Notamacropus eugenii: one gene and its partners. The protein of the gene in region 1 purifies or fractionates together with the protein of each later gene. This does not show direct contact. Links are inferred from orthologs where the notes say so. Each region holds a gene or a part of one and is shown on either strand. Other genes may lie near its edges. The genes, in order: STX12, VAMP7, VAMP3 and VAMP8.

Region 1 (7,080 bases):
AACAGCTGATGTTTCCATTTCATTATCTATAAGATGAGATTAGATGACCTCTAAAAACATTTTCAGTGCTAACATCCTATGATTCAAATGAAGATCAAAGTGTTCTAAAATGAATATATTTTCCATAATTTAACATCGGGGCTTCAGAGAATAACAGTGTCCAAATGAACTCTGATCCATTCAAAACATAAAGTCCACTGATAGGAAAGATACTGACAACAGCTCTCCAGCATCTGAACCACCAGATGACTCAGTATCTTAAGAAAACAACTGAAGTACATTAGTCAGACTATGGAGATATGCGGTAATTATGACCCTGCAGTTTCCCAAATATACCAGCACAGAAATTAAAATTGCATTTTCAGTTAAAAAAACTGCAATTAAAATTATCCAGAAAAAAAGATTTAACAATGTTACTACAACTGCAAACATCGTAAATGTGGAGAGTGCCTGGCTCTACCACAAACTAGAAATGGACAATGTAGGTACGATGTCTTCTGTTTATCCTTGTATCTAATACAAAGGACAAGAAATTATTTTCTTGAGCATCACGCTTTCAGTTCACTGAAGTATAATACAGTGAGTATAGTGAGGCAGGAAAACGCGGAGAAGTTTGGGATGTGTGTGTGAATGTAGCCAGATGACAAATAAGGAAACAGTTAAGGTATTCTTCCTATTTCATCTCCGAATGGCATCTTAGATTCTCCACAAAGAGCAGCAAGTGAGGACAGACACTTCAGCCAGAATTACTGAGGGTTCAAAGTCAGAATGAGAGAAAAGTAAAAAGATCCTACAATGGTAATTGGCAAGGTGAAGCTGGGGGAAAAAAAGAGTTCCCATTCTCAAATTTGTCTTAAGTGAGAAAAAATAAGTTCACTCATTCACCTGAAGTAGTAACATTGATGGGCCTCTAATATTGCTAATTAAGAAATGATAACAATGTTACTCCTTGCTTGCCAATCTTCCCCAGTGAAAACTAATTCTGGGTAATGTTTAAAATGAACTTTAGTCTATTATATCTGCACTGTCAAAACCAAAGAACAAGAAATTAAATACACAGGATCAGAATGAGCAAGAGATTGAAATGTCAGAAGACATAATTCTGAGCCCCAGGTCTTTCACTTATTAGCTCTGGGATGTTGGCCAGTCCCTTAACCTAGCTGAGCCTCAATTTCAAAATTAGTAAACTAGGGCTAATATTTGCACTATATACTTCAAAGAGTAAAACACTATATAAATGAGAGTTATTAGTAGCTGATCATAGCAGCCTGTCACTAAGATCATCTTCCAGTGTCTCATCATGGCATGGAGATGATCCCGAGTTTTCAAAGGCTAGGTTAGTTGAATACAAGCTCCACAAGATCTCTCAAGTAAAATTAAGTTTCAAGTGCAAACTCAGGGGTCAAAAGTTTACTGTCCAACGACTACTTCAGGCAAGTTTGGTGAGATTTATTGTCCACAAATACGAATTTCTGTGCTACAGTAACCCCTGAGGACTATCTACTAAGATGTGAGAGAGCTGTATCTTGCATATATTTTGAAATACATGAATCCTGTAACAAGGCTGTGAGGTTAACTTGTATTACAGCCAGCCATCTCTAAATACAACTGGGAAAATCAGCTAGTAAGTTTAGTTTACTTGACTCAGAATTTCTCTCTACCACATACTGTTTCTTGCTTTCTTAAACAACTAATTAAAGGCAAAGCAAAATGTGACACAGTTCTTTAAACTTCAGCATTGAGGTAATAGAAACAGCACGGGTCTCAGGATCAGGAACCAGCGTATAGAAAGTGGAGATAAGATACTTTGTTTCCTCACAAGATTGTTGTGAGGAAAGGATTTTGCAAATCTTAAATAAGCTTTATAAATATGCTGTTAATATGAACTGATAAATATAATCATTCAAGATCAATGACTACTAACAACTAGTCTAGGATGATAGCTGGAACCCCTAAAATGCATACCTTTCTGTACAAAGATGATGCTACTTGACCTTGTCTCAGGAAGGGGGATACTTTTAAATTGTTCTCCCCCCACATCGGGGAGGGATTACATAATGAGAAAGTAAGACAAGTCCCAAACACAGAACCTCTCACTGTGGCTTGACATACACTCCTATGCGATTTGGAGTTAGTCACTAAACTTCTCTGTATATGAAATTCATTTCAAGAAACAGCGAATAAGACCGATCAAAACCAAATACTGACTGCTGCTGTCTAACAGCTGGATGGACTACGAGGAAATCTCTGAATTTAAAGCTTCCAAGGAGATTAATAAAACAAGCTGTACTCCTTGGATCTTGGGCTGTCAAGGGAAATTAAAACAGAAGACAAACCCATAGGCTCCATACCCCTCCACATCCTTACGACCATGACATTCAGGAGGTGTTTCAGGTCACGCAACCTTCACTTCACCTTAGCTGACATTTGCGCTGAATTCCAGCTGGTCCAGGACCACAGAGAATGCAGACTCGGAAGCTACACTGTTACACATAATCTGAGCCGAGCAGACTGGGAAGGACAGGAGGGGTGGCTGGAGGCTGAAGAACAGGGGCTGGTCAAACGAGGCAGCCCCAGGACCGGACTCCAAGCCCAGGAAAGCAGTTTGGGGCGAGCACAAGCCTGGCTTGGGGCTCCAGGTTCCGGCTGGTTCTGCTTTGGCCTCGCCCCTTCCCTTCTCGGGCCTCAGTTTCCCCACCTGCCGATCGATCAGCTCTAGCGTGGCCCGGAGGGAAGGGGGCAGAGCTGAGCAGGCGGGGCGGCGCCTTCGCCCCCGCAGGCAGCCAGGGCCCGGCGCGGGGCCGGGGGCCTTCAGCCCTCCCGCGGCCACACCCGTCGTGGTCGCCCCCTCCCCGGCCGCCCGCGGGCCCCACTCACTGGCGTAGCTGATCCTCTGGATGTGGCCGCAGCAAGTGCTGAAGATGCTGTCAAAGTCCCGGGGCTGGGCGCCCTGCGGGCCCGAGGGCCCCGCCGCCCGGTACATGTCTAGGGGCCCGTACGACATGGCGAGGGCTGCCTGGCCGGGCCGGGGTCGATCCGGACTGATCCCCAGCCGGAAGGGGAGCCGCCGACCAGTGACAGGGAGCGGGAGAGGAGGACAGAGCCGCGACGGGGGGAGGGGGGCGCAAAGAAGGGAGAGGAGGAGACTGCTGCGTGCGCACCCGGGCCTCCGCTGCGCGCATGCGCCCCGCCTCCCGGCGGAGCCGTGACGTAAGGACGCGCTTTGGGGGCGGATGCCGGGAGAGATTCGGAGTCTTTCCCTGTGGGGTCCATTGGACCCAGATTTTATTCTGCATAAGACAGGACGGGGGCCGCCACAGGGAAGGGGCCATCGCATCCATCCGACCCAGCACCCCTTTTCCCGCCGGCCCCCCCAGAGGAAACATCCATCGCCTCGTTTCCGCCCCAGAGGGTGACCTCATCGTCCTCGGGGAGGGGCTCGGCATTCCAGCGGTACCGGGCGGAGGGGAAGGCCGCGGAAGGCCCAGTCACCTCCCCGGCCCGCAGGCCCCGCCGGGATGCCGGCTGCGGGTGGGAGGCGGGGCGCGGCCCCTTCCCCGTCCTCACGTGCTTCCTGGGTCGAGGCGCGCTGGGGGCTTTGGGCAGAGATGCCGGGGCGGTCGGCCGCCTCCTCCAGCTCGTTTTACAGACGAGGGAACGGAGGCCGACAGGGTGACGTGACCGGCCCGGGGTCCCTCAGGTCGGATTGACACCGAAGACGAGTCTGTAGGTCCAGGGCGGCCCCCGTAACGTCCCGCATTAAGTGATGGCCTCGGAGGTGCAGGCAGAAGTAAGCACCAGCCAAGGACGTGACTCCTCCACGTGGATCAGGCGCTGCAGCGTGGGGAATGGCCCCCCGCGTTAGCAGTCAGCGTGGGCCGGTGGAGAGTGCTGGACGTGGGATCACCAGTCACGGGCCCGCTCTGAGCCTCAGTCTTCTCCTCTGCAGAAGGAAGGCTTTGGGTTAGGTGCCCTTTTGGATCCCTTCGGTTCCAAATCTGTATTCAGAATTCAGGCTTTTGTTCCTGTCAGGAAAGTCTGCTTCCCATCTTTGCCCTGTTCCAGATGCCTCAGATACACTGGTAAATTGGGATTTCAGTACAGGAAAGAAATTTAAGAGATCCTCTAATCCCGGAAATTTTATTAAAAATTTTAGTTTTTTTATTTTATTTTAAAAGTATATATAGCTCCTAGGAGTAGAACTGACTTGCCCAAGGTCACTAAGTACCAAAGCTAAAACCTAGGTTATCTAATTCACTTAGTATTCTGCCATGCTGATGAAACCCAATGTGCATTTTGAGAGCCCGTGTTGGAAAAGGTTAAACATGAATATGGCAGATCTCTCTGCCTTAAAATGTATTTTCAACTATGCATAGGGTGGTTTGAGGATGTTGATTAAGTTCACATCAAACTAGAAGACCAAAGCTGCAGTGACCATTATATTCTGATACATTAGTAACAGCTATGATCTTTTATACTTTAACATCCATTTTTTAAAATTTTGAATTCCGAACTCTCTCCTTCCAGTCCTCCCCCACCCATAGGACATCAGTTATCTTGCAAAACATATTTCTATATTGCCATGTTTCAAAAAACAAGAAGAAAAAGTAAGTGAAAAAATATGCATCCATCTGCACTCAATTCATTACGTCTCTCTCGAGAGGTGGATCACATCTTTCATCACGAATCCTTTGGAATTCTCTTGGATCATTCAATTGATTAGAGTAGCTAAGTTTCAGGGTTGATCATTGTTGCAGTATTGATGTTATGGTGTATAATGTTTTCCTGGTTCTCATTTCTCTTTAATAATAATTATGATTTTTCTCCCTCTTCTGTTATACACAGGATTATGTTCCATTATTTTAATCTTTTTTGAAGGTGGCCTTATTCCCACCAGCTCTCTTCCTCATTCCCCTCCTTCTGCCTTTTCATTTCTTAACTACTGTCTCTTTAGAGTTTTGTTTCACTCTCCTGCTTTTATCTGGTTATGATTATATATTTCTTCCCTCTCTTATTTCCTCAGTTAATCAAGTTATTACTTCTTCAGCTAGTCCAATTCATTACTTCACTTTTGCATCCTTTTCCAAAAAGAGATTTCTCTCACTTCATTATCCATCTCCTTTTATTTAGTCTAGACCCTCATTATCTGATTTAAGACCCCTATCTATATTCAACTAGTCTCTCTTTTCTCTGTGGTCTTCATATAATCAAAGCTTCCAGGGTATCCATTCTAGGTTCTGTCCTCTAGGCACTTTCTGCCTCTGCCTTGTAGGGCTTTTCCTATGGATTCTGCTTTCCTGTTATACCTCACGCTCAGAATAATGCCAATTATTGCAGGTGTCAAAGAGAGGCTGCCCCTTGGTAGTGCTCTCCCACCCCCAACTGACCTATACTCCTCTTGTTGACCTTTCCCCTTCCGTACATTTGCCTGAAAATCTCCTATGTCCATGCTCTTCCATTCTTCCAAGTGTTCCCAGGGGTTCCAATTCCCCTTCTCCCCATCCTAGGATAAGCAGTCTTTTCAGGCACCAATTCCTCGGCCTTATCAAGTGCAGTATCTTCATTTCCCTTCACCCACAGAAACATCAGGGAACTCCCTCGTACCTCCAAAGTAAACCCTCCTTTCTTTCCTCCCCTTTTCAGTCTTTCCCTCCTCCTGTTCACCCACTCTCCTGTAGGTCCTTTTCTTTCTGAAGCCACAGAGGTCACATTCTCCTCATTACTGACCCTTGATCTGACCCTGGCAACACTCATTTCTTTCTAACCTCCTGCTCCCCCTGCCTCCTTTTCACGTACCCTCCTGTGTTGTAATGTAGTCCTACAAAAGGAAGCATTCTCCTGATTGTCAGGTTCCATCCATGATGTCCCCATCTGCCTCTTCACTGTTACCACTACCAGATTTTTACCTGTCTCCATTTAGAAAGAAGTCGCTTACTGTGTTTCTGTTGTCACTCTATTGCAGTTATTATCTGCATTTCTTAACTCCTGAATTCTGTTGATGGGTTGTTCAAGAAGCAAATGATCTTTTCAGTTCTGGTTTTCTTTCTAAAAAATGTTTCAAACTCTTCTTTATATATACCCATATTTTGTCCTGTATGGTTAAGCTCAGATATTGAGAATAGGTTACTCTGGGCTGCATCCTGACCTCCAATGCACTTCAGAACACATTATTCCATTCTCTTCTCCTTTTTCTAGTGGATGAGGAATAGTCTTGCATTCTTCAAATATACTTTACATTTTATTTGAAGATTTGTCTCCTGATGGCTTGCAGAACTTGTTTTTGAATTTAATTGTTACATTTAAGTACTCCTGGAGTTTGCAGCCCTGGGGTTGTTTCGGTTTTTGGTTTGTTTTGTTTTGGGATTTTTTTCTTGTAAATAGTATTTTATTTTTTCCAATTACATGTAAAGATAGTTATCAACATTCATGTTATAAGATTTTGAGTTCCAAATTTTTCTCCTCTTCCCTCCCTGCTCCCCAAGACAGCAAGCAGTCTCATATACGGTATACATATACAATCATATTAAACATATTTCCACATCCGTCATGTAAAAGAAGAATCAGAACAAAAGGGAAAAAAAATCACAAGAAAAAAAAACAAGCAAAAAAAGTATAAATAGTACACTCTGATTTGCATTCAGACTCCTTAGTTCTTACTCTGGATGTGGACAGCATTTTCTAGGATGAATCTTTTAGGTTGTCTTGGATCATTGCATTGCTGAGAAGAGCTAAGTCCACCGTAGCTGATCATCACACAGTGTTGTCACCGTGTACAATGATGTGGTTCTGGTCACTTCACTCAGCATTAGTGCATATCAATCTTTCCAGGTTTTTCTGAAGCCAGCCTGCTCATCATTTCTTACAATACAGTAGTATTCCATTACATTCATATACCGCAACTTGTTTAGTCATTCCCCAATTGATGGGGGAATGACTCTCAATTCCCTCAATTTCCAATTCTAGGAGTGGGGAATCTGCAGCCTTGAGGCCACATGTGGCCTTTTAGGTCCTCACGTACAGCCTTTTGACTGAGTCCAAGTTTTACAGAACAAATCCTTTTATTTATTAAATTTTATTTGT
Region 2 (6,990 bases), on another chromosome or scaffold:
TCTCTAGCTGTCCCCCAAGCCAGAGATGCTCTCCTTCCTCCCCTCCACCTACTGACCTCCCTTGGCTTCCTTTAAGTTCCAAGGAGCCTTCCCCAACCTCTTTTAATTCTAGCACTTTCCCTCTATTAGTTACTTCCTATTTATGCTGTGTATAGCTTGATTTGTATATATTTGCTTGCATATTATCTCTTCCATTAGATTGTAAGCTCCTTAAAGGCGGAGACTGTCTTTTGCTCTTTTTGTACCCCCAGCACTTAGCTCAGGGCCTGGCACCTAGTAGGTGATTAATAGATGTTTCTTGATTGATTGACTAAAAAGGTGAAAAGGAGACAGGTACTGAAGTGCTTTAAAAGATAAAAAGATTTTATGTCTGATCCTGGAGGTGACTGGGAGTCACTGAAGTTGGGGGGGGGAGAGAAAGTGACATGGTCAGAACTGCTCTTTGGTTCCCCAATTGATAAATGGTCAAAAGATAGGCACAGGCAGCTTTCAGAAAAAGAAATCAAAGCTATCTATAGCCATATAAAACAATGTGCTAAATTGCTACTGATTAGAGAAATGCAAATTAAAACAACTCTGAGGTACTACCTCATACCTACCAGATTGGCTAACATGACAGAAAAGGAAAATGACAAATGCTGAAGGGGATGTGGGAAAATTGAGACACTAATGCACTGCTGGTGGAATTGTGAACTGATCCAACCATTCTGGAGTGCAATTTGGAACTATGTCCACAGGGCTATCAACCCGATCTAGCAATTACAACTACTAGGTCTGTATCCCAAAGAGTTTAAAAAAGAAGGACCTCTTTGTACAAAAATATTTATAGCAGCTCTTTTTGTGGTAGCAAAGAATGTGGAATTGGGGGGATGTCTATCAATTGAAGAACAACTTGTGGCATACGATTGTAATGGAATACTACTGTCCTATAAGAAATGACAAACAGGATGATTTCTGAAAAACATGGACTTATGTGAACTGATGCAAAGTGAAGTAAGCAAAACCAGAACACTGTACACAGTAACAGCAATACTGTATAAAGATTAATTGTAAATGACTTAAGCTATTTTCAGCAATACAACGATTCAAGATAAGTCCAAAGGACTCATGATGAAAAATGCTATCCAACTCCAAAGAAAGATCTGATGGAGTCTGAATGCAGATCAAAGGATATTATTTTTCATTTTTTTTTGGCCTGTTTTTTTTCACAATGTGGCTAAGATGGAAATATGTTTTGTATGATTGCACATGTATAACCTATATCAAATTGCCTGCCATCTCAGGGAGGGGAGAGGAATGGAGAGAATGTGGAACTGAAAATTTTAAAAAAGACTGTTAAAAAATTTTTTTACATGTAATTGGGAAAAATATTATTCAAAGAAAATATAAAATAAAATAAACAATAAAATAAATGCCTTGGTGGCAGATTAGTCAGAGTTGAAGTATTAAAGGTAACATCCACTATGATGTCAGAAATAAAAAAAAAACTGCCCTTTGGGTACTTTGACAACTAAATGGAATGGACTGGGGAAAAATTTGAAACAAGGGCTTCAACAGAAGGCTATTTGTCAAATTCCAGATGTGCTTATCAGATTTAGTCAGATGCTTAAAACATTCTTGATGAAAACTGTTGGCACTACTACGTAGAAGTATCTTAAAGTATAACGTCAGCTCACATCAGCAGTAACCTCTCAGACCAAAACACCCCTACCTGGCTACCAATGTACAATATGAATTGTTTGCTCAATTAGAATGTGGGTTCTTTCAGAGCAGTGAGTGTCTCTATCCTGTATTGCTACACACCCAGGACTTAGCACAGTATTTAGCACACAGTGCCTCAGTGCTTTCTTCCTAAATGTATCATTCCTTCCTTTATTCCCACAGCTTTTGCAATCAGTGACAAATCTTTGTCCCACACTGGAGTGGGGCTTGTGGGTATGGAGGTGATACCCACATATCAACTTTGAAGATCAGTTTATTTAAAATGGAGGTAAACAGGTTAATCACTAAATTGGTGGCAAGCAAAAACATCTGTCACAGCAACTCCTTTTGGAACAAAGAAACATAGTTAAGCAAAACAAATCCACACATTGCCCATGTCCTTTTAGATCTGCCCTCCAAACGCACCAGCCCTCTCTGGTGGTGGTCGGTATGTTCCATCGCGAATCCTTGGTGATTGTGTTGACTGTTGACAGAACTGACTGTCTTTACAGGTTTCTACTGTATATAAACTTTTCTCCTGGTCCTGTTCCTTTCACTTTGCCAACAGTTCCTCTAAAATCATCCCCCGCCTCAACACAAAGGTCTTGCCCATCACCTTCATAAACCAGAACTTATTCAGCCATTACTCAATGGATGGGCATCCCCTCAGTTTCAGATTCTGTGCTTTTCTTTATGTTTGTGCTTTTAGTCCCAAACCCACTCGCTAAACCGAAAGGGGGTGGGGGGGATGTCTCCACCACATCAGCTGGAAGCTATAGACAGTCCTCCCCCTGAGCATCTCACGATTCTTCCTCTCGGACAGACAGGAGGGGCCACAGGAAGAGACAGGAAAGGAAGGAAAGAGGCTCCGGGTAAGGGTGGGGCCTACGACCCTAGTGGGGCCCAGGTTCCACCTCTCCCCGCTCCTCCCCCCACAAGCCCCGCCCCGCCGAAGAGAGAGAGGGGAGGGGGAGATGGGGGAGGAAATGGGGGGTAGGAGGAGAGGGGGCGGCCTCCCCCAGAGCGCGCCAGGGGAACAGGGAGGGCACCTACCTCAGTGGCAGCAGGGCGGTCCGCCTGGGCGACCCCAGTCGGCAGCAGAGGCTCGCTCGGCCCAGCTCGCTGCGCTGACGGGGAAGGAGGGAGGGACGCAACCCTAGGTGCGTACGTGGGGACGTAGGGAGGCGTATACGCGCGCACGCCAACGACCAGTTGAGCCAATGGCTCTTCCCTCTGTAACAGAAAGCGACGACCCGGGAGGGGGCGGGGCGGGCAGAGCTCCAAGCCGAGCTCCGAGCTGGTGCCCGGGCTGCGCAGGCGCACTTTCGCCCGCGGCCTTCTGGGAAAGGGAATGGAGTGGGGGGAGGGGGTGTTCCCCCCCTCCCCACCTTCTCTGAGGTCACGATGCATGCTGGGACTGGTAGTTTGGAGCTTCTGCCCGACCTCCTTAGAGGCGGAATGGTCCTGGAAAAAAGGACTTGTCTGGCCAGTCTCTTGACCCCAGTCAGCTGAAATGGACCTCAGGGTGATCTAGTGGCTGAACCTCTGAACTGTCAATCAGGAAACCCCACACACTTATTTGCTCCACCTACTGGACTGCAGAGAGCATTTGTCTCACTCTTGGCCTGGCTCGTATATAGAACAAATAAACAGTGCATAACGACAAACTCCTACACTGCACGATCAATCAACAAGCATTTATTAAGTGCTATTCAAAGACAAAAATTGTCCCTGCCCTCTTGGCTATGATATTCAACGAATGGGTCAACATGTGTAATATAGGTGGAGACAAATGGATATGAAATACATGCAAATAAACCCATTCATACAAAATAGATGGCGATAGGTAGATATGAAATAAGTGCAAATAAACCGATCCATACAAGATAGATGGAGGGAGGGAGGGAGGGAGGGAGGGAAGAAGGAAGGGAGGGAGGGAGAGAGAGAGAGAAACAGAAAGAGAGAGATGAAAGAAGTGCAAATAAACCCATCCATACAAAATATCTACTAAGTAGCTAAAAGTCTACTTCTCTTCCACACCCCAGAAGTCCCTCCAGACATAGCATGTATCCAGGCACATCCCTTGACAAAAGTATAACAATAACAGTTCCCTCAAAACGTTGCATTCACTTCCTAGCAACAATAGACTATTAACAATAGCCATCATGTACCCACGTAGAAATCCCAGATTCAGGGGCTATGATCACTTCTAGTGCTCAACGATAGAATGCTGAATCCAATGTGAACGTGAACTTGGACAGGCTGGGAATTTGCCTCTTTTCTGATAAGCACCTCCGGACCAATCTGCCTGCTGTTAAACCATCATGGAAAAGGGTTAGTGGACTGAGTGACAAGAGTGAGCAAGGACCACTACCTGTATTGTACAAGTAGCCAATTACCCAGAGTAAAGACAACTTCAGAGTTCATTGGCAAGAGCCCAATGGCAAGAGAAAGGCCCCAGGAAAAGATAAACACAGATGTGACACCAAAGCACTGTGAGATAAAAAAAAAAAAAGCCCTAAGTGGAATTCAGTACGAAAGCAGCCAGAGTCAGTGCAAGAACCCAACAAGAAGGCAGTCTAGAGTTCAGCCACAAAAGTACCTAAGCAGAGTAGAATTCAGGACCTCCTGGCAAGAATCCAGCACAAGGGAGTAAACCTTAAGCCTCATAACAAGAGAGAGGCCCAGGTAACTGGGGGTCCCAAAAGCAACAGAAAAATGCCTCAATGGCAGGCCCAGAGGCTGGACCACAGCAGAAGAAAGGCCTGGAACAGAATCTAAACAGCTTCAGCCCAGCATCCAGAAAATCTCTCCAGAACAAAAGGAGAAAGGGCTAGTCAAATCTAGCTCTTTGGAGCCTATCCGGTCTACCCAGGAGGAAAAGTTTGGTCCTGGAATTTGACACCTCAGGCACTGAAACTGTTATGAGCAAAAGAGAGCAACCCTACAAAGTCAAATTGAGCCTAGGAGTAATAGTTTTTGTTTCCTCTTGGCCTAGGCTTTTCCCCTTAATTTCTTTTTTGTTTTATTACTATAGCTAGTACTTCTAATTTAGTCTTGAATAGTAATGGTGATAATGGACATCCTTGCTTTACTCCTTATCTTATTGGAAAGGCTTCTAGTTTATTTTTCCCTTGCTCTTGGTTTTAGATAGAGTCTACTTGCTTGTCCTTCATTCTTGAAGAGAACCAGAATGCCATCACAATGTTTGGGGTCAATATACAGTGTGTCTGACCAATAATGAGCTTAGAAAACTAACAGAAGTCAAGTATAAATAGTCTGTGTGAACATTCAGGATAGAGATATCTTTAAATCCACACATCTTACCTTTGTTTTGAGCTGGTTTTATTCTCTTTTGCTCATTGAGCAGAGCACCTTCTTTGAAGCTAACATGCCATGCTGGATAGTCCTGTGCTAGTCCTATGCCAGTCCTGTGTCCCCCCTGTTTCACAATTAATACAATTTTTATCCTTATAATTTTAAGGAAAGCTCCATTTATTCCTATGCTGTCTAGTATTTTTAAAGAAATGCATACTGTACCTTGTTGTTTTTCTGCATCTTTTTCTGCATTTTTCGTTTGAAATAACCACGTGATTTTTGTTGCTTTTATTGTTAATATGACCAAATTTTCCTCATATTGAACCTATTCTGCCTTTTTGATATAAAACCAGCTTGGTCAGAGAGCATGATCTTTGTGATGTGTCGCCATTGTCTCCTTGCTAATATTTTATTTAAATTTTTGCATCAATATTCATTTCGGAAATTTGTCTATAGTTCTCTTTCTCTGCTTTGACTCTCCCTTGAGTAAAGCATCAAAGACACATTGAAATAATTAGTTGAGATATCAAGAACACAGAAGGAATTGGCAGGACCCTTTCTTTACCTACTTTTTCAAGAAGTTAATGTAGTATTAGAATTTATTTAAAAGTTTGGTAGAATTCTTCTATAAATCCGTCTGGTCCTGGGTATTTTTTTTTTGGTAATTCACTTATGACTTGTTTAATTTCTTTTTCTAAGGTAAGATTATTAAGTAGTCAATTTCCTGTACTATTGATCTGCATTATTTATATTTTTGTAAATATCCATTTCATTTAGGTTTTATTATTATCAGTATTACTGTATTAACATGTAGTTGGGTGAAATAGCTTCTAATAACTGCTTTTATTTTTTTCTTCATTTGTTATGAATTCACCATTTTCTTTTTGATCCTGGTCATTTGTTTTTATTCTTTCTTTTTAAAAATCAAATTACCTAATGGATTATCTACTTCATTGTTTTTTCTTCAAAATAACTAACTCCTAGGTTTTATTTTTTATAACATTTTTTTAGCTTGCAATTTTGTTCATCTTTCCTTTGGTTCTCAGGATTTCTAGTTTGGTGTTTAATGGAAGGCTTTTAATTTGTTAGTGTTCTAGTTATTTTTTTAATTGCATGCCTGATTCATTGATCTGCTTTTCTTCTTTTTTATTGACAAACACATTTAAAGATCTAAAATTTCCCATATTTACTACTTTGGCTACATCTTACAAATTTTCATATATTGTCCCATTGTTGTTACTATTATTAATGAAATTATATATTTGTTTTCTAATTTGTTCTCTAATTTACTTGCTCTTTAGGATTATGTTATTTACTTTCCAACTGATTTTTAATTTCGCTTTAAAGGCATGTTAATGTAATTTTATTGCATTATGGTCAATAAGAGATACATTTAATATATTTGCTTTTCTGCATATGTTAGTGAGCTTATTATGCCTTAATATATGATCAATGTTTGTTAAGGTGCCATGCAATATGGGCAAAAGTATATTCCTATTCATTTTCATTCAATATTCTCCAGAGGTCTATTACATCTAACTTTTCTAAAATTATTTTCAAGTCCTTAACTTCTGTTTTGTTCATTTGTTGTTTGGGTTTATCTAGATGTGAGAGGGTTCAATTGAGGTCCCTTACTATCTATTTCTTCCTGTAACTCATTTAACATTTCCTTTTAGAATTTAGAGGTTATACCATTTGGTGCATATATGTTTAGCATTGATGTTAATTCACTATCTATGGTACCTCTTAGCAAAATATAGTTTCTTTTTTACTGAAGGCTGTTTTTGTTTTTGCTTTTTCTGAGATCATGATTACTATCCTTGTCCTTTTTACTTCAGCTAAAGCAAAATAGCTTCTGCTCTCATCCCTTATTTTAACCCATATATTTATACTGATAGCACTTACTTTATGTAAGTGAACCTGTTCTGTGAGGAAGGGAGGGAGGAAAGAGAGGCAGGAAGGGAACTGCAG
Region 3 (7,748 bases), about 22 Mb from region 1:
AGAGAAGCCAACCAGAAGGCTATTACAATCATGTAGGCGTGAGGTAATGAGGGCCTGGATCACAGCAGTAGCAGTGTCTTAGGAGAGAAGGGGGCATGGTCTAAGAGATGTTGTAAAGATAGAATCACCAGAACACGGCATAAGGAAAGATAATGAGTTTTTAGTTCTGAACAAGGAAATTAATCCTTATCAGTTCAGGGTATTTTCATAGTTAAGCCTAAGAATTGTGGACCACACCTTTGCCTCACCCCCATTAAGGACATAGTTAAGTTCATTTGCTATAATTATTGTTTCTTGCTACTTCTGAATGTAATTTTCAGGAATGAGCATTATTAAATTCACACTACCACTAAATAGTAGGTAAATGAAGAAATAACTGGGATAATGCTCATAGCTTTGAATTTATCTATCCTTCAAGGCCAAGATCAAATTTTATTTTTCTCATGAATTCAATTCAATAAATGTTTATTAAGCCTTTTGTGCATGTAAAGCACTTGAGTCAAGGCTCTTCCTAGGGCTGCAAAGCCAAGAAAAATTTAATAGTACCTACCCTCAAGAAACTTATGTTCTATTGGAGATAGAGAGCCATCACACACACAAATAAACACAAAGTATATGAAAGGCGATATAAAGTAACTGTGAAAGGAAGAGACTGCCAACAATGGGGAGGGACAGAATCAGGAAAGTTTTCTACTAAAAGGAGACACCAGAATGCTGCTTTGAAGGAAATGGCATTCCTTGACCACTCCAACCCAGAGTAGATACTTTTATTAGTTGATATTTAGTCAGACGATGACATGTAAGGTTATTTTTGCAATTTTTTCCCAACTGGAACTTAAATTCTTTGAAAGCAGAGACTGCCATGTAATTCTATGAATCACCCATAATGTTCAACATTATCTTGAACATATTGATGAGCAGCTATGTGATGCAATAGATAGAGAGCCATGCCTGGACTCAGGAAAACCTGAGTTCAAATATGGCCTAGATACTCACTAGTTGTGTCACCCTGGGCAAGTCATTTCACCATTTGCCTCAGTTTCCTCATTTGTAAAATGAGATAGAGAAGGAAACAGCAAACTACTGCAGTATCTTTGCCAAGAGGATCCCAAGTGGGATCATGAAAAGTCAGACATGACTGAAAACAACTGAACAACCACATAGTAGTACTTAGTATGGGGCACCTAAGGTGGAGAAGTGGATAGAGTGCTGGGCCTGAGTTCAGATCCAGCCTCAGACACTCACCAGTTGATGGACCTTGGTTAAGTTACTTCACCTCTGCTTGCCTCAATTTTCTCAACTGTAAAATGGGGCTAACAATAGCATTTACTTCCGAGGGTTGTTAGGAGAATGAAATGAGATAATATTTGTAACGACGTAGTAGGTATTATATAAATGCTAGCTGCCATTAATACTCTATTTTGGTGGAATGCATTTTCTTTCCTGAGAAGCCAACGAGACTATTCTGATTCTAGTTTCCTAGCCTCCTTTCATTCTCCAAACTTGAGCCCCCTGGGGTGCCAGATAGGATTCTTGGTAAAATCTTGGGTAAGCTCAGGAAAAATGCATTTAAAAGGTCACACTGTAAAGCACAGTCACCAAAGGGACCTTAAAATCCTAAGCCACATTCCTTCAAGAGGAAAAAGTGAACACTCCCAAAGTTGTGCACCGGTGACAAATGTCTGACTGCAGGGAGAAATGTTCCACAAGCACTCCACAAGAAAGTAACTCAAAATTCCTAGGAAGCCTGGTTCCTAGACAATAATGTTCATGATCTGACTTCTCCCTAAAGATCCACAGCGACCCCCTGGGGGCAGCCACAGCGACCCCCTGGGGGCAGGGACCCCCCCCCCAGTTCATGCTTCTTTACTCGCTTATGTAGGGAACCGTTCCAGCGCTGCCAAAGCGCCTCCCTGAGCCTCAGTTTCCCCCTCTGTAAAATGGGCACACATATCCCCGCCCCACACAGGGTCGTTCTCGGGCTCCAAGGGGACCCCGCCTAGAAAGCGCTCCGAAGGCGCTACATAAACGTCATCACCGCCGTCATCATCGTTACTGCTGCCGTGCCCACCACGGAGACCCTTCCAGAACGGAAAGGGCGGAGGGGGCGGAGGGGGCCCAGGAGGGGCCAGGGCCCGGGGCAGGGTCTCCCGCCCCCTCCCCCTCCCTTCCACGTCCAGGCTCCGTCCCCCCCGCCGAGGCGCGATCGGAACCCCGCCGCCGCCTCCCCTCGGCCGCTCCGGACCCCGGGGCTTCCCTCCTCAGACTGGAAGCTCCGCGAGGGCAGGGCCGGCTCTATTCGTAGGGCGCGTACGAGAATACAAGCGTACAGGCTGCGGCCCGCGTCAGGGCGTCCCCCGCAGCCCGGGCCGCACGGAGGGGGCACGCCCCGGCAGCAGCCGCGGAGCCAGACCCCCGCCCGCTCGGGCCCCGGAGGCGCGTCACTCACATCTCGGCGGCTGGCCCCTTCGTCGGGAGAGGAATCGCTCTGGCGGGCTCTGCGGGGCCTCGGAACGCGGAGGGTGGAGCGGCTCACGGACGCCCAGACTCCGTCTGCCTGCTCGCCTGCCAGACTGGTGGGCGGGGCGCGGCTGGTGACGCACCGGAGGGAAGAGGCGGAGCTTGGAAGCGAGGCGTACGCACGCACGCACGCACGTCCGTCTGCACGGGAGAGGAAGAGGGCTTAGACGCACGCGCGCAGGCGCGCGGGCACACCTCTCCCTGAGGAAGTCAGAAAGGGCGGAGGCAGGGGCGTGCGCGTGCGCGCCGACCAACGGACGGAACGGATTCAACGGGCGCTGCTGCCGCTCGCGGCGCTGTGACTGACAGAGCAGAGGGGGAGGGGTGGCGGCCGCCGTCCGTGCCCATGCCCTCCCTCCCTCCCGCTTCCCTCAGTCTGCCCCCCCGTCCAACTCTCTCTCCGGGCTTTCTTTTTTCCCCTCCCCTGGTTGAGTTTCTTTGGACCCTTGTAGGAAGCCGCAGGAATAGGCGGCCCCAGCGGGGGGAAGGAAGTGGCCCGGGTAAGTGAGGGTGGGGGCGGTGCCCTAGTCGGCCTCACCCTGGCCTCTGCGCTGACCCCTCCCAGGTGGGGGTGGGGCGGGGGTGGGATTGGAGAAGGCGGGACCGCGAGTGCGCGCATGCGCGCTGTACTCCCTCTGAGGCTGCCGGGAGGATGGTCCCTCTTCCCAGGTGAGGTAAGCAGTGCCCGCTGTGCCCCATATATAACCGTACAGGAGGGGTCCGGGCAGACCTGCATTAGAACTGGGAGGTATTTATGAAAGCCAGACGGATACAACGAGCTTGGCATTGCCTCCCATGTTAGCAGACCGCTTAATTCGTGCTTTTCCCCAGTCATTCCTAAATAAATGCACAGGTCCGAGCTGCGATAAGTGTGTTTTCCGCCAAAAGATTGGGAGGGACCCTGGCTCTCTTAGTTACCCCTTCGGTGACTGAGAAAGCAGCGTGCCCCATACGAATCTGAATCTGAATTTTCTCATCAAAACGAGTCCAGACTAGGGAAAGGATACAAGGGATGCCCTCAGGGAGCACAGAGTCATTGGAGACCTGACTGACAGCTGTGCACCTTTAGTAAGACAGCAGGTGTGAGGCTGAGTGCTGGGATAATCAGATTGATTCTGTCTTTTAACTGATCCTATTTTATGGTGACTTGATTTTGTCCAGTTATGGCCCAAATCGTGGTTCTTGTCTCTGAACTTAGTATGCAGTGAATTAAGGTTAAAAGTCCATTCTTGCCTCAAGGGATTCTGCTTTCCTTGGGGGATGCAGGTGGACATCAGGGAGTCTGGTCTGGTATTTTTACACCACCAAACTGCCCTTCAAGGGTGTCTGGTTTACTCTGCAAAGAAGTCTGGTCCACTTTATCTAATCTTGCGGGTAGACTCAAGGAACATTCCTTAACTACAGGAGAGGAAAGGGGTGTTTGTTGCTAGGCCCTGGTTCCCAGTTTCCAACCAATCGTGTTGTCGCCCCATGCCTCAGCTCTGTAATCATTCATTTTGATTTCACCATTCATGATGCTGAGCTCTTGTTTCCCGCCTAGGAAGTTATGTTCTTTGCTCTATACTCCCCAAAAAAGCTATAAAAGAGAACTATCTCCCACATTTGGAGGGATGTCTTAGCTTCGCTGAGGAAACTGTGATTGTATTTATTGGTAAATTCACACTTTACTAATAAATTGGTCATGCTTAGAAATTTGTGCCTCGGTTTACCTTCTTTTAACAGTTAAAGTAGTAACCTTAAAAGCAATAGGAAGAAAAGGGATTCCAAGAGTAGTCAAAGAAAGCTATGTTGGCAAGATGAGATCTGTGGTGGAATTTGAAGGATGGGTAGAATTTGGTTAAGTAGAGGGGAGTAAAAGTATTTCGAACCTTGTGAGCAAAGGTACAGGGCAAGAACAGTGGCCAAAGAATAATGAGGACATTTGACAGGAAGAAAGGGTGCGTATAGATGAAGTAGTTAATAAGACTGGATAGGGACACATTTTGGAGCAGAAGAATTGGGATTGGAGTTGGCAATAGGGAACCAACATAGGTTTGTGAACAGGGGAGTGACTTGATAAATGGGAATTTTTAAGGAAATTCTTCCACTAAGGCCTTGTGTCTTGGTTGTAGGTTCCTGAAGCTATGTAAGCAAAGCTTAGGTTTGGGGAGGCCCTCTCAAAACAGAAAGGCTCTGAATACTGGGTACCAGTTCTCAGGGTATCAGTCCTGCAAAGTTTGAAGAAGCCAAAGATGTGTGTGGTGTGGTGGAGCCTGGCTAGGGAGCCAGTTGTTAAAATGTCAGTGTGAACATTTACACCTTAACTTGACTGCTGATTGCCTGGACTTAAAGCAATCAAGGAAATGTTGGTAATTCAGACTCAACTTAAAAGTATGTCAAGAATACGTTACCCCTGCCCCCAACAAAAACAAAACAACAAAGGATTGTTAAACATTTAGTAGCACATGCTGGAACTGGGTCAAATGATGGGGCTGGACTAAATGACCTCTAAGGTTTCTTCCAGCATTAGGTCTATGATCCTATGAAGGGTGATCGTTTTTTTTTTTTGTCCATAACCACTCTTAGATGTGGTAGAGTTGTGCTCTGCATCTGTGGAAGGGCCCTGTAAGATATTAATGAAATCCCAGGTTGGAGTAGACTGGATTTAAAGTGGGAAGAGTCTCTTGAGGGAGAGACCAGCTAGGATATTGTTGCAATAATCCAAATGGGAAAGGTGCAAAGGGCCTAGGCTAGGATGCTGGCAGTGGGAATGGAGGGGAGCCCTGTAGAACTTTAAACAGCTTGCAAGATTGTCACTAGTGACTCAGAAGGCTTCATAGTTACATGTTTTTAATTCAGTCTGGTATTTTAAATACAAAGATTTTAAATGATTTCTCTGTAATTTAACCCATTTAAGTAACTTTATTATTTGCAAATTGAGTAGAACTTTCCTGAGATGTGCTTTGGAGGGCATGTGTGAATCATGTTCATTAAAGACAGATTCTGGACCCAAACTTTGTTTTTTGAAATGGATACGCTTGAAACAACATGAAGTTAAGCACAATGTGCCCTGGTTTTAAATAGCCGAGAAATCTAAATTAAGAACAAAACACACCAACACCTAGTATGGGGAAATTTTCTTCATTTTTAATTTACAGCAGAAAGAATATAAAGCATTCAGAAAACATTTTCCATATTTTAAGGGCAATTCAAAACATTTTGCATGGTTCCAGCAGCTGAGTTCTTCAACAGATCCATTGATTCAGTGATGCTTTACATGCACAATTACAAAAATAAAACTTACAAAAAGGAGACATCTAGACTAGTTTTACATGCAAGTCTTGGGGACCCCCCGTTGGGCGCCAACTACTGTGTGGAACTGCCATAAGCGACCGTGCAACCATAGAGGGGGTTCATGTTATAGTCTTTATTTCGTTCACACAGTACAGCTGATTTCAAATGTGTAATAATAGCAATTAAATTTTCAGGAGACAGAATAATATTAGCTATTAATTTTTATAATGAAATCCTACTCCTGGCACTTGGGAATTCAGATTATCCAAGAAAGCTGCGCTTACCTATCATCTTATACTCAAAACTATGATCCACAACCAAGAAAAGGGCGATCAGAAATGCATTCTTTCAGTGGAAGTGCATTTTTAGCTAACTCAGTGGTCAGTGGTGGGTTATGCAGTAGGCAGTAAACCTACTTTCTCTTCCCTCCAGGAAGACCCTCTGAGTTGGAAGAGTAACATTAAGTATTTCTATATCTTACTGAGTCTTCTATCTTGCCCATCTAATAAATGTATGTGAAACGTTTTTTTTGTAGAAATGTGAGGGTTAAAACAAATCCACTGAGGTCATTACTCTTGTTAAAGATCCATTCTTTTCATAACAAATGGAATAAACATGTCTAAATTCACTTTTAATACAGGACATTTCGAAAGATCTGGCCTTCACATTCCATTCCCATTTGTGTGTGCAATTATGTATATGTGTTTATGAGTGTATAATACTCAGTGTTCTCCTACAGGCCCAATTTTGTAAAATAATAGATGTTTTGGGACTGCAACAGCTGCAGCATGAGCCACACACTTAAAAAAAAAATTGAGTTAGGTCAGTTTACAAATGTACAGGTGGCTGTTCGTTGTGGGACTGTCACTGTTGTCAGAGCTGATCACGAGCAGTAAGACGTATACTGTACAGTAATTCAAGGTTGGCAGTGAAAGGAAGTAATTAAAAAACAAGTACAATTATAGAAAAGGCACCAAGAGCACTGACCCCAGTTTTTACCCCAATCCTTTTGTATATACCTTCCTTCCAAAGACACCAGTTTAAAAGCTTCTTATTTGTGAATATTTTTAGGCTTCACAACAAGCCTTGCATTTTCACTTACAGTTGATGGCCAAAATCAAGTAAGAACAAAACTAATTGTCATTAACTTTACACCAACTGATCTTCAGACTTAGCTTGGAAATTTTAAACTGGTATCAGCAAATACTAACTTACCCTCTCTTAATTTAACATTAGTAGTTTCTATTTTTTTTTTTAAAGTATCTGATTTCTTTGGCTCCTCATTATGTGGAAATAGTAATATACCATGACACCCCTACAAGACCAGTTTGCATCATTTTAATTTTAATTTTTTTAATTTTTTTGTGCAATTTTTATTACATTTTCTGACTTCCAGCAGGAGATATGAAAATGTGAAACATATTTTTCTACTTTCAGACTATTTCTTTTTTTTTTTCAGTTTATGTTCATTCTAAGTGTTCTTTATTGGAGTGAGTGGATGGTGTTAAGCTATATACTGGTTTTTCTTATGATTATCTGCTTTGCAAAATTAACTTAATTTTCTTAAGCAATATTAGCATTCACATTACTTGGCACCATTGGCAAAAAAAGTTAAAATAAAATTAAATCAACTCCCGGTAGCCAAAATTAAATGTAAACATATCCTTTTTTTTGTTTTTTAGTAATGTTACTCTGCCTTTTTTTCCTAAGTCTAAATACAGTAGCTCTTTTTTTTTTTGCAGTTTAGTCATGCTTTAGCAAAATGTTCTTCTAAAGAACATTTAAAATAAAGTACTCTTATAGTGAAATAAAGTTTTTGTTTCATTTTACAGACCATAGCCACTAATGCTTTGCTTTTTTTCATTTCTTTTTTTTCTTGAATTCATGCACATATCTCTGTTTTAATATATACAATATGTACAAACAATACATCCACACTTTTCTCGCTCATTCAG
Region 4 (7,080 bases), on another chromosome or scaffold:
GTCAGTAAATACAAATCATATAAATACAGTAAATAAGGAAAAACATAAAGTACTTTCAAAAGGGAGATGGTGCTGATAACTGGGGAGATCTCACTGAGCAGCCTCAGGGAGAAGGCGCCACTAGTGGTTCCAAGACTCTGAGGTGAGTACATCTCCCCTCTTCTCTCAGAAATTTCCTCCTGGAAAAGTCCTGCTTCTATTAGATTATAACCTCATTGAGGACAGAGGTTATCTCTTGCTTCTTTTTGTAAACCTTAGTGCTTAGTAAGGTGCAATCAATTAATCAACATTAAGCTCATCTTCCAGAGTTCAAATCCAGCTGCAGACACTTACTGGCTGTGTGACCCTGGGCAAGTCACTTAAACCCTATTTGCCTCAGTTTCCTCATCTGTAAAATGAGTTGGAGAAGGAAATAGCAAACTGATCCAGCATCTTTGCCACAAAAACCCCAAATGGGTTTTTGAGTCAGACATGACTGACAAAGACTGAACAACAACAACATTGTAGGTGCTCGATAAATGTTGGTTGATTCCTTTCAGCTGCACTTCGTGGCTGCTTAGAAATGAGTCCAGCAGTTCTAAGTTACCCCCTCCCCCCACTCCTCGGCCCCCTTCCATCTTCAGCCGTTGAGCCACAAACTTCTGCTTTTTCCACTCCCAACCCCCCAGTGGCCCAGGACGAAGGGATAGGGGGGCTCGGGCCACTGAGGATGTTGGTGCCAACAGTCAATAAAACTGTGGGAGACAAAGAAGGCAGGTCTTCTTGAAGCGTAGCCTGTGACTTTGTGATACCTCACGTGGTATGGAACAAGCCTTGGCATGACAGTCATTGGCCTTGGGTTCAAATTCCAGCCCTGATTCTACTGGCTTCTGTTTAATCTTCACAACCACCCAGTGAGACAGGTGCTATTATTATGTCCATCTTTACAGATGAGGACATTGAGGCTGATATTTAAGGGTCACACACACAGCTATTAAGTGTCTGAGGTCACTTTGAACTTAGAAATTCCCAAGCCTGTGTTCTACTTTTATCTATCCACTCTAGCCAACCCTGGGCAAATCACTTTATTTTGATTAGCTTCCATTTCTCCATCTGTAAAGTGGGGATAAATTGAGTGCTGGCCCTGGAGCCAGGAGAACCTGAGTTCAAATCTGGTCTCAGACACTTGCTAGTTGTGTGACCCTGGGCAAGTCACTTCACCCAGTTTGCCTCAGTTTCCTCATTTCTAAAATGAGATGGAGAAGGAAATGGCAAACTACTGCAGTATCTCTGCCAAGAAAACCCCAAAGGAGGTCAAGGAAAGTCAGACACAACTGAAACAACTCATCAACAAAGAGGGGATAACTGACTGCTACCTCAGTGGGTGTGGGGGTAAGGATCAAATGGGATAATGTATATAAGGTGCTTTCTAGATTGCAATGTGCTATAAAGTTGTTTATTATTATTATTATTATTATTAAAGACTAAGTGACCTGCCCCCTTCCCTTTCAGGCAGAGGGAAGGACTAAGTAGATAAAGCTAAGGGAAAATTGTTTGAGGCCCCCAGTTAAGGGACCGCCCCAAGGTCACAAGGCTAGTAGAACAGTAACTTGGTAGCTAGAGTAGCCAGAGGCTTGGAGAGATTACGTAAGCATGCTTTAAAGGGAAGAAAAGCAATCATTCCTGGTTCTTCCCCTTCATCCCCTCACCCCCAAAGCCTGGGTAGGTAAGGTCTGAAATCATGACATCACACACTGAATACAAATTCCACATTTGAGGAGCCAAGGCTGATCCCTCCGGACAGAAAGAGTAATGAAGAAGGGGTCCTAGTTCCAGCCCAGCTCACCCAAGCTGATCTCAAGCTTCTTCCCCAGCCCCCAAACCACAAAGCTTTTGCATTCATATCAGAACTGAAGGAAGAAGGGGGGAGGAGAAGCCGCCTCCAGCCCTGGGTAGTTCCATTTCTGTCCAGCTGACCCAGCAAGTTGGGGAACACCGGAGCCCCAAGGGAGCAGCTGGAGCCCTTGGGCCTGGAGGGAGAGGCCTGCCAGGCTTTGGTCCCTCTCTGGCGGGGTGGGCAGCCAGGCTGGGCTCTGCTGCTCCCGGGATCGGGGAGTCCTCCTCCCTCAACCTCCGCCCCCACAGGAACTCGGCCAACCATTCCAGGAAGAATTCCCGGTCTTCGGGGCCAGCAGGGAGGTCAGGGAAGTGAAGGCCGGCAGTGGGGAAGGAGGGGGTGATCAGAGAAGGGAGCAGCCAGCCACAGCTGGGACAGCCCAGAGTCAGAGTACTGGTCAAAGGACAGGAGCCACTGGGGGCCTTCCCGCCTTCTCTCTCCTCTAGACCCTCGAGATGATGGATCGCCACTCTCTTCCCCCTCCCTTTTCCTCCTGACCCACCTCCCAGTCCTTCTCCCATTCGAGGCCTCCCTCACTCACCATCTCTGCCTCCCGTCCAGCTGGGGCCCCTCAACAGCTGGGACAACAGCAGCAAAGGACTGGCTCGGGTACTTTTCTCCCGGGGTGCGCTCAACCTACTTCCTGCTTATTCCAACTTTCAGCCCGCCCCAAAGGCTGAGCTCCGCTGCTGCGTCGGTCGGGTCTACACGGCCGGTCCCAGACTGGGCGGCTCTCGAGGCACACCTGGATCCACAGGTTACATGAAGGAGGAGGCGGGGCTGGCCACCTTGGAGCCTCCCCCAGCCTTTCCTCTAGCAGGGCTGGAGCTTACTTAAAAGACTTAGGGCTTCCTGAGCCCCTCCAAGACTCGGAAGCGCACATCCAAGGCTCCCCAGAATGTCCTAAGAACCTGAGGGAACGAATCCCGAGTCGGCTACCTCAGCGGGGAAGACAGCTCCTGCCGCCCCCCCACCCCCTCCACTTTCCCCCCAGGCTTTCCAGGCTGTTCTCACCCAACTCTCACCACCCAGAAAAGAACAGAGATCACTTTTCATGGAAACATTCGCAAGTTAGAGCCGGAAGGGATGTTAATAGCCACAGGCCAACTTCTTAAAACCCAGAGAAGGACTAGACTCAGAACCCACCGTCTTCTCTCACTTTCTACTCTTTAATCAAAACTACAATTCTGGCAGATTAATATGTGAATGTGGTAGGCTGACATCTGGCCCAAGAAGATAGAAAATTGGCCTTGGAAGACCTGGGTTGAAATTCGGCCTCTAACACCCACTGTCTGCTTGACTGTGGGTAAATCATTTATTCCTTTGGAGCCCCAGGTTCGAAAGATGGAGTTCCCCTGAAGTTGAATGGGAAAATCCTTTTAGCTTTATTTTCATTAGCCTCTAACTAAATTTAAAGTATCCTTCAAATATTTAAAACATTCTTCTAAGAGATCCATAGATTTTGCCAACACATGTGAAGGGGCCCAAGACACACGAAAAGGGGAAGGACCCTCTGTGTCAAGGTTCTAAACAAAAAATAAGTTGCTCATCTGCACCTGCGGCAGGAATTACAGTCCTCTGATGAAATAGTACAAATTCAACATTTATTAAGCACCTACTACATGCCAAACAGCCAGGGTTGGGGAACCTTTAGCCTTGAGGCCACCTGTGGTCCTCTTGGTCCTCAAGTTCAACCCTTTGACTGAATCCAAACTTCACAGAAACAAATTTATAAACAAATTTTCAGCCTTGAGGCTGCAGGTTCCCCACCCCTGGAACCATTTATTAAGTCCCTGCTGTGGGCTAAGCATTGGAGTTGCAAAAACAAAAGGAAAACAGAAACTGAGTTCTAGGAGTTCATATTGGAATGGGATGGGTTTAGCAAAACAGAGAGGAAAGAGACGTTTTGAGGTCGATTTGGGCTGGACAGCAGTAGTGTCTGGGGGGAATCAAGAAAAATACCATGGGAAAGATGAGGATTCCAAAAGTCAGGACGTATTAGAGTGTTAGAACAGCAAGGACTCCTTGAGGTCGATGAATCCAGTTCTCACATTCAAGGTCACCCAGACAGTGGCAGAGCAAAAGCATAGATTCTGACCAAAACAAAAAAAATCAAATCCAAAATTAGAAACTAACTAGGTTGTTTGTCCAAGAAATGTTGCTATGCCTTGCTCTGCTTGAGGTACGGATCTTAAAAAAATGAAGGCACCCTTATTTTTAGTGCAAGGTAGCTGGTAAAAATAAAAACCCTGGATTAGGGAGTTCAGAGACCTGGGCTGGGCAATTTCGGGCATGTTGCTTCACCTGTGTGCCTCAGTTTCTTCCTGTGGCAAAATGTTTAGAGGTTGAGGCTAGATTGTTAGTATCATAGTGCTCCAAGACCACCTAGTCAAACCCCCTCATTTAAAGATGAGGAAACTGAAATAACCTCTAAGATAACTTTTAGTACTGAAATTGTGATTTCTGTTTCTGCAGTCTGAAGCTGGGGTTTTGTTGGTTTTTTTGGGAGATGAGAGTAAGGGGCATTGGCTGAGAAGTTAGAGATACCTCCAATGGAGGGAGGGTTGCCCTGTGAGGGAGGACAGCTGCCAAGCCAAAGGTTAAGACAAGGACTGGAGAACCAGAAAGCTGGGCAGCTGCCCACACAGTGAGCCTGATGCAGCTGGAAATGGGACAGATAAAGGGAGAGGGTCTGCTCTTTGCTGGACACACCATGCTCTCTCTTTCTCTCTGTCTCTCCCTCTCTTTTTCTGTCTCTGAGCTTAGAGCAGCAGCCCCCCTAAAAGGAAGATGACAGTAATTCTGTACCTCACTCCAGAATTACACCAGGTGACAAGAAATCCTGTCAGAGGCACCTTCAGAGAGTCCCCAGTGGCCTGGAGATAGAGGCCTCAAGGGAAGGATTTTTTTCCCACCCCTGGCTCCCTGCCAAAGGAAAAGGCGATTGCTGGTCTTCCTAAATTTTATCTTGGTGGGAGAACATAAAAGGTGTCCTATCTCAGAAGACAGAAAAAGTTCTGGGATGATTTCTGCAGCTGAGAAAAACGCATTCCAGCCTGATGCTAGGATTAATTAGCTTTTTCCTTTTGGTTGTCAGGAGACCCAGATAGGAGAAGGTGATGGCTGGATATGCCAACCTGCCTTCAGTTAGAATGAATGTGGTCACGCCACACTGTAGGACGTTTGACAGCTTAGTTTAGAGGGGGCAGGGTGTGACAGGAAATGGCGGCTCTACCCAGCTGGAGAGCCAGCAAGCAAGAGAAGGGGAATGCCAAGCATACCGAGGAGGGATGTGAGTAGAGGCCAAAGACTGCCATTGACACTCTGGCATGTGTCCCAGGCAAGAGGACACTTGGCCTGGTCCCAAAGCTCCCTACATCCAGGGCCTGTCCTGACTATATTGTCACCCTCATCTTCCTCCAGATGGACACTGTGCAAATGTAATTATAACTCTGGAAGTGAAAACCTGGGCCCCTCAGAGGCTAAAGTGCTAAGGCAGATGATAATGACTTTGGCTCAAGTTATAAGAGACTTGCTAATTAAATGTACAGAGACCTCATTACAATAACAGGGCAGAGGGCAGTAAAGGGGAGTCAATATTTTCATTGCTTAGTAGGGATTATTAACTCATGTCCCACTGAACTTGGTTTAAAAAATATTTTGACAAATGTCTTTTAATATAGTCAGTTTCATCATAATACTGTTTTGAAAAACTGATCACCCTGAGAACGAGTCCATAGGCTTGGCTAGATTGATTGCAAAGAGGGCCAAGACATTCTTGGAGACTAAGAACTCTTGGAGAGTGTGCATTTTGAACATGGTCCTAGCTCATGGTCAAGGAAGTTATCTTCCTCTAAAAGAAAGATCACTTTAGGACATTTGAGGAGGGAAATAAAGACTCCTGGTGGGTTGGGGGTGGGGAAGTGAAGTTAGTGAGAGAAGGCGTGACAACTCACAGAAGCAACCAGGAGGATTCTGGGGTAAATGGTAGGTTTGGTTCCCAGGAACACAAAGGAAACAGGTCTAGATAAAACATAGGCTTAGGAAATAGAATCTGACTAAATTTTGCCCCTCTCTTCTCCTCTATTCCCTCTCTTCCTACATCCATTTTTTTCAAGAAATTAGAAAAAGAAAGAAAAAAAACTTTTTGTAACAAATATGCAAACAAATTTTCAAACTGATCATGGCTGAAAATGTATTTTTCAGAAGGTGGGTAGCACATTTCACCACTCATTCTTGGCTGGTTGTATTGATCAGAGATCTAAAGTTTTTCAAAGTTTGTTTTAATAGTCTTTTTGTTATTGTGTAAACTGTCACACTGGTAGGATCTGATCCAGAGATGTCCCTCTGACCTGGTCTTCCATGGACACCAGGGCCTTCTAATGGTCCAGATTAATCAAGGGCTTTGGTATGGGATCCCCAGGTTAATCCCTTGAAGGGATAGGAACCTCATCCCAGCCCCCAAAGTAGCCTTCCTCCTTCCTTGTTTGAGATGACACAGAGATAAACTAGAGTAGGGGTGGGAAACCTGCAGCCTTGAACATGTGGCCCTCTAGGACCTAGAGTGCTGCCTTTTGACCGAATCCAAACTTCACAAAACAAACCCTTCCATTATGTGTTTCCTCATCCCTGGCCTAGAATCTAGGCCCCAGACCCTCCTAGAACGGACCAGGTAAGCACTTGCTTCAGCAGCTTTCACCCCCAAAATAAATTCTGTTGGTTTTTTTTTTCATGACTGGCTTATTCATAGGCTAATAGGAGCATAGATTTAGAGCTGGAAATGACCTTGGAGCTCATCTCATTTTAAAGATAAGGAAACTGAGGGATTGGGCTGCACTCCTGACTCTCTGAATCATGCCAAAGAAATCACTTCTGGAAATTCACTCTCCCCCTGGACTTCTCACACTGGAGGGACTTTTGGCTCACAACTTCTCTGTCTTTGGCTCTTCCATTTGGAGAAGGATGGCTAAGGCAGTTATGCCTTTGATTCTCTCCAGGTTGCAATCTTGAATCTTTAGACTTTCTTTGCCATTCTTTACCCTGCCCCCAACTTGAGGGTACCTGCCCCTCCAACCCTTTACAGTTTTGTTTTGTTTTTTTACATAGGGTCTTCCCCCAATACATTATAAACTCCTTAAGAACAGGATGAATTGTCTTTCTGCCTTTCTTTGCATTCCTGGATTGGCATGTAGGAAGCTCTTGTT

What was found.
Region 2: the proteins of STX12 (region 1) and VAMP7 purify together in Homo sapiens (affinity purification with mass spectrometry; 3 studies listed by BioGRID and IntAct, counting the BioPlex papers as one, with this or other methods). This does not show direct contact. The link is inferred for Notamacropus eugenii from reciprocal best matches to the Homo sapiens genes STX12 and VAMP7.
Region 3: the proteins of STX12 (region 1) and VAMP3 purify together in Homo sapiens (affinity purification with mass spectrometry; 3 studies listed by BioGRID and IntAct, counting the BioPlex papers as one, with this or other methods). This does not show direct contact. The link is inferred for Notamacropus eugenii from reciprocal best matches to the Homo sapiens genes STX12 and VAMP3.
Region 4: the proteins of STX12 (region 1) and VAMP8 purify together in Homo sapiens (affinity purification with mass spectrometry; 3 studies listed by BioGRID and IntAct, counting the BioPlex papers as one, with this or other methods). This does not show direct contact. The link is inferred for Notamacropus eugenii from reciprocal best matches to the Homo sapiens genes STX12 and VAMP8.

Annotation. Positions count from the first base shown.
Region 1 is NC_092876.1:68,874,846-68,881,925, reverse strand, and holds the start of STX12 (syntaxin-12), read right to left. Parts: upstream 3,007-7,080; 5' UTR 3,005-3,006; coding exon 2,878-3,004; intron 1-2,877. UniProt on the Homo sapiens protein: SNARE promoting fusion of transport vesicles with target membranes. Together with SNARE STX6, promotes movement of vesicles from endosomes to the cell membrane, and may therefore function in the endocytic recycling pathway.
Region 2 is NC_092879.1:11,730,237-11,737,226, forward strand, and holds the start of VAMP7 (vesicle-associated membrane protein 7), read right to left. Parts: upstream 3,024-6,990; 5' UTR 2,755-3,023; intron 1-2,754. UniProt on the Homo sapiens protein: Involved in the targeting and/or fusion of transport vesicles to their target membrane during transport of proteins from the early endosome to the lysosome. Required for heterotypic fusion of late endosomes with lysosomes and homotypic lysosomal fusion.
Region 3 is NC_092876.1:46,453,358-46,461,105, reverse strand, and holds the start of VAMP3 (vesicle-associated membrane protein 3), read right to left. Parts: upstream 3,023-7,748; 5' UTR 2,452-3,022; coding exon 2,450-2,451; intron 1-2,449. UniProt on the Homo sapiens protein: SNARE involved in vesicular transport from the late endosomes to the trans-Golgi network.
Region 4 is NC_092872.1:726,536,952-726,544,031, forward strand, and holds the start of VAMP8 (vesicle-associated membrane protein 8), read right to left. Parts: upstream 3,007-7,080; 5' UTR 2,421-3,006; coding exon 2,418-2,420; intron 1-2,417. UniProt on the Homo sapiens protein: SNAREs, soluble N-ethylmaleimide-sensitive factor-attachment protein receptors, are essential proteins for fusion of cellular membranes.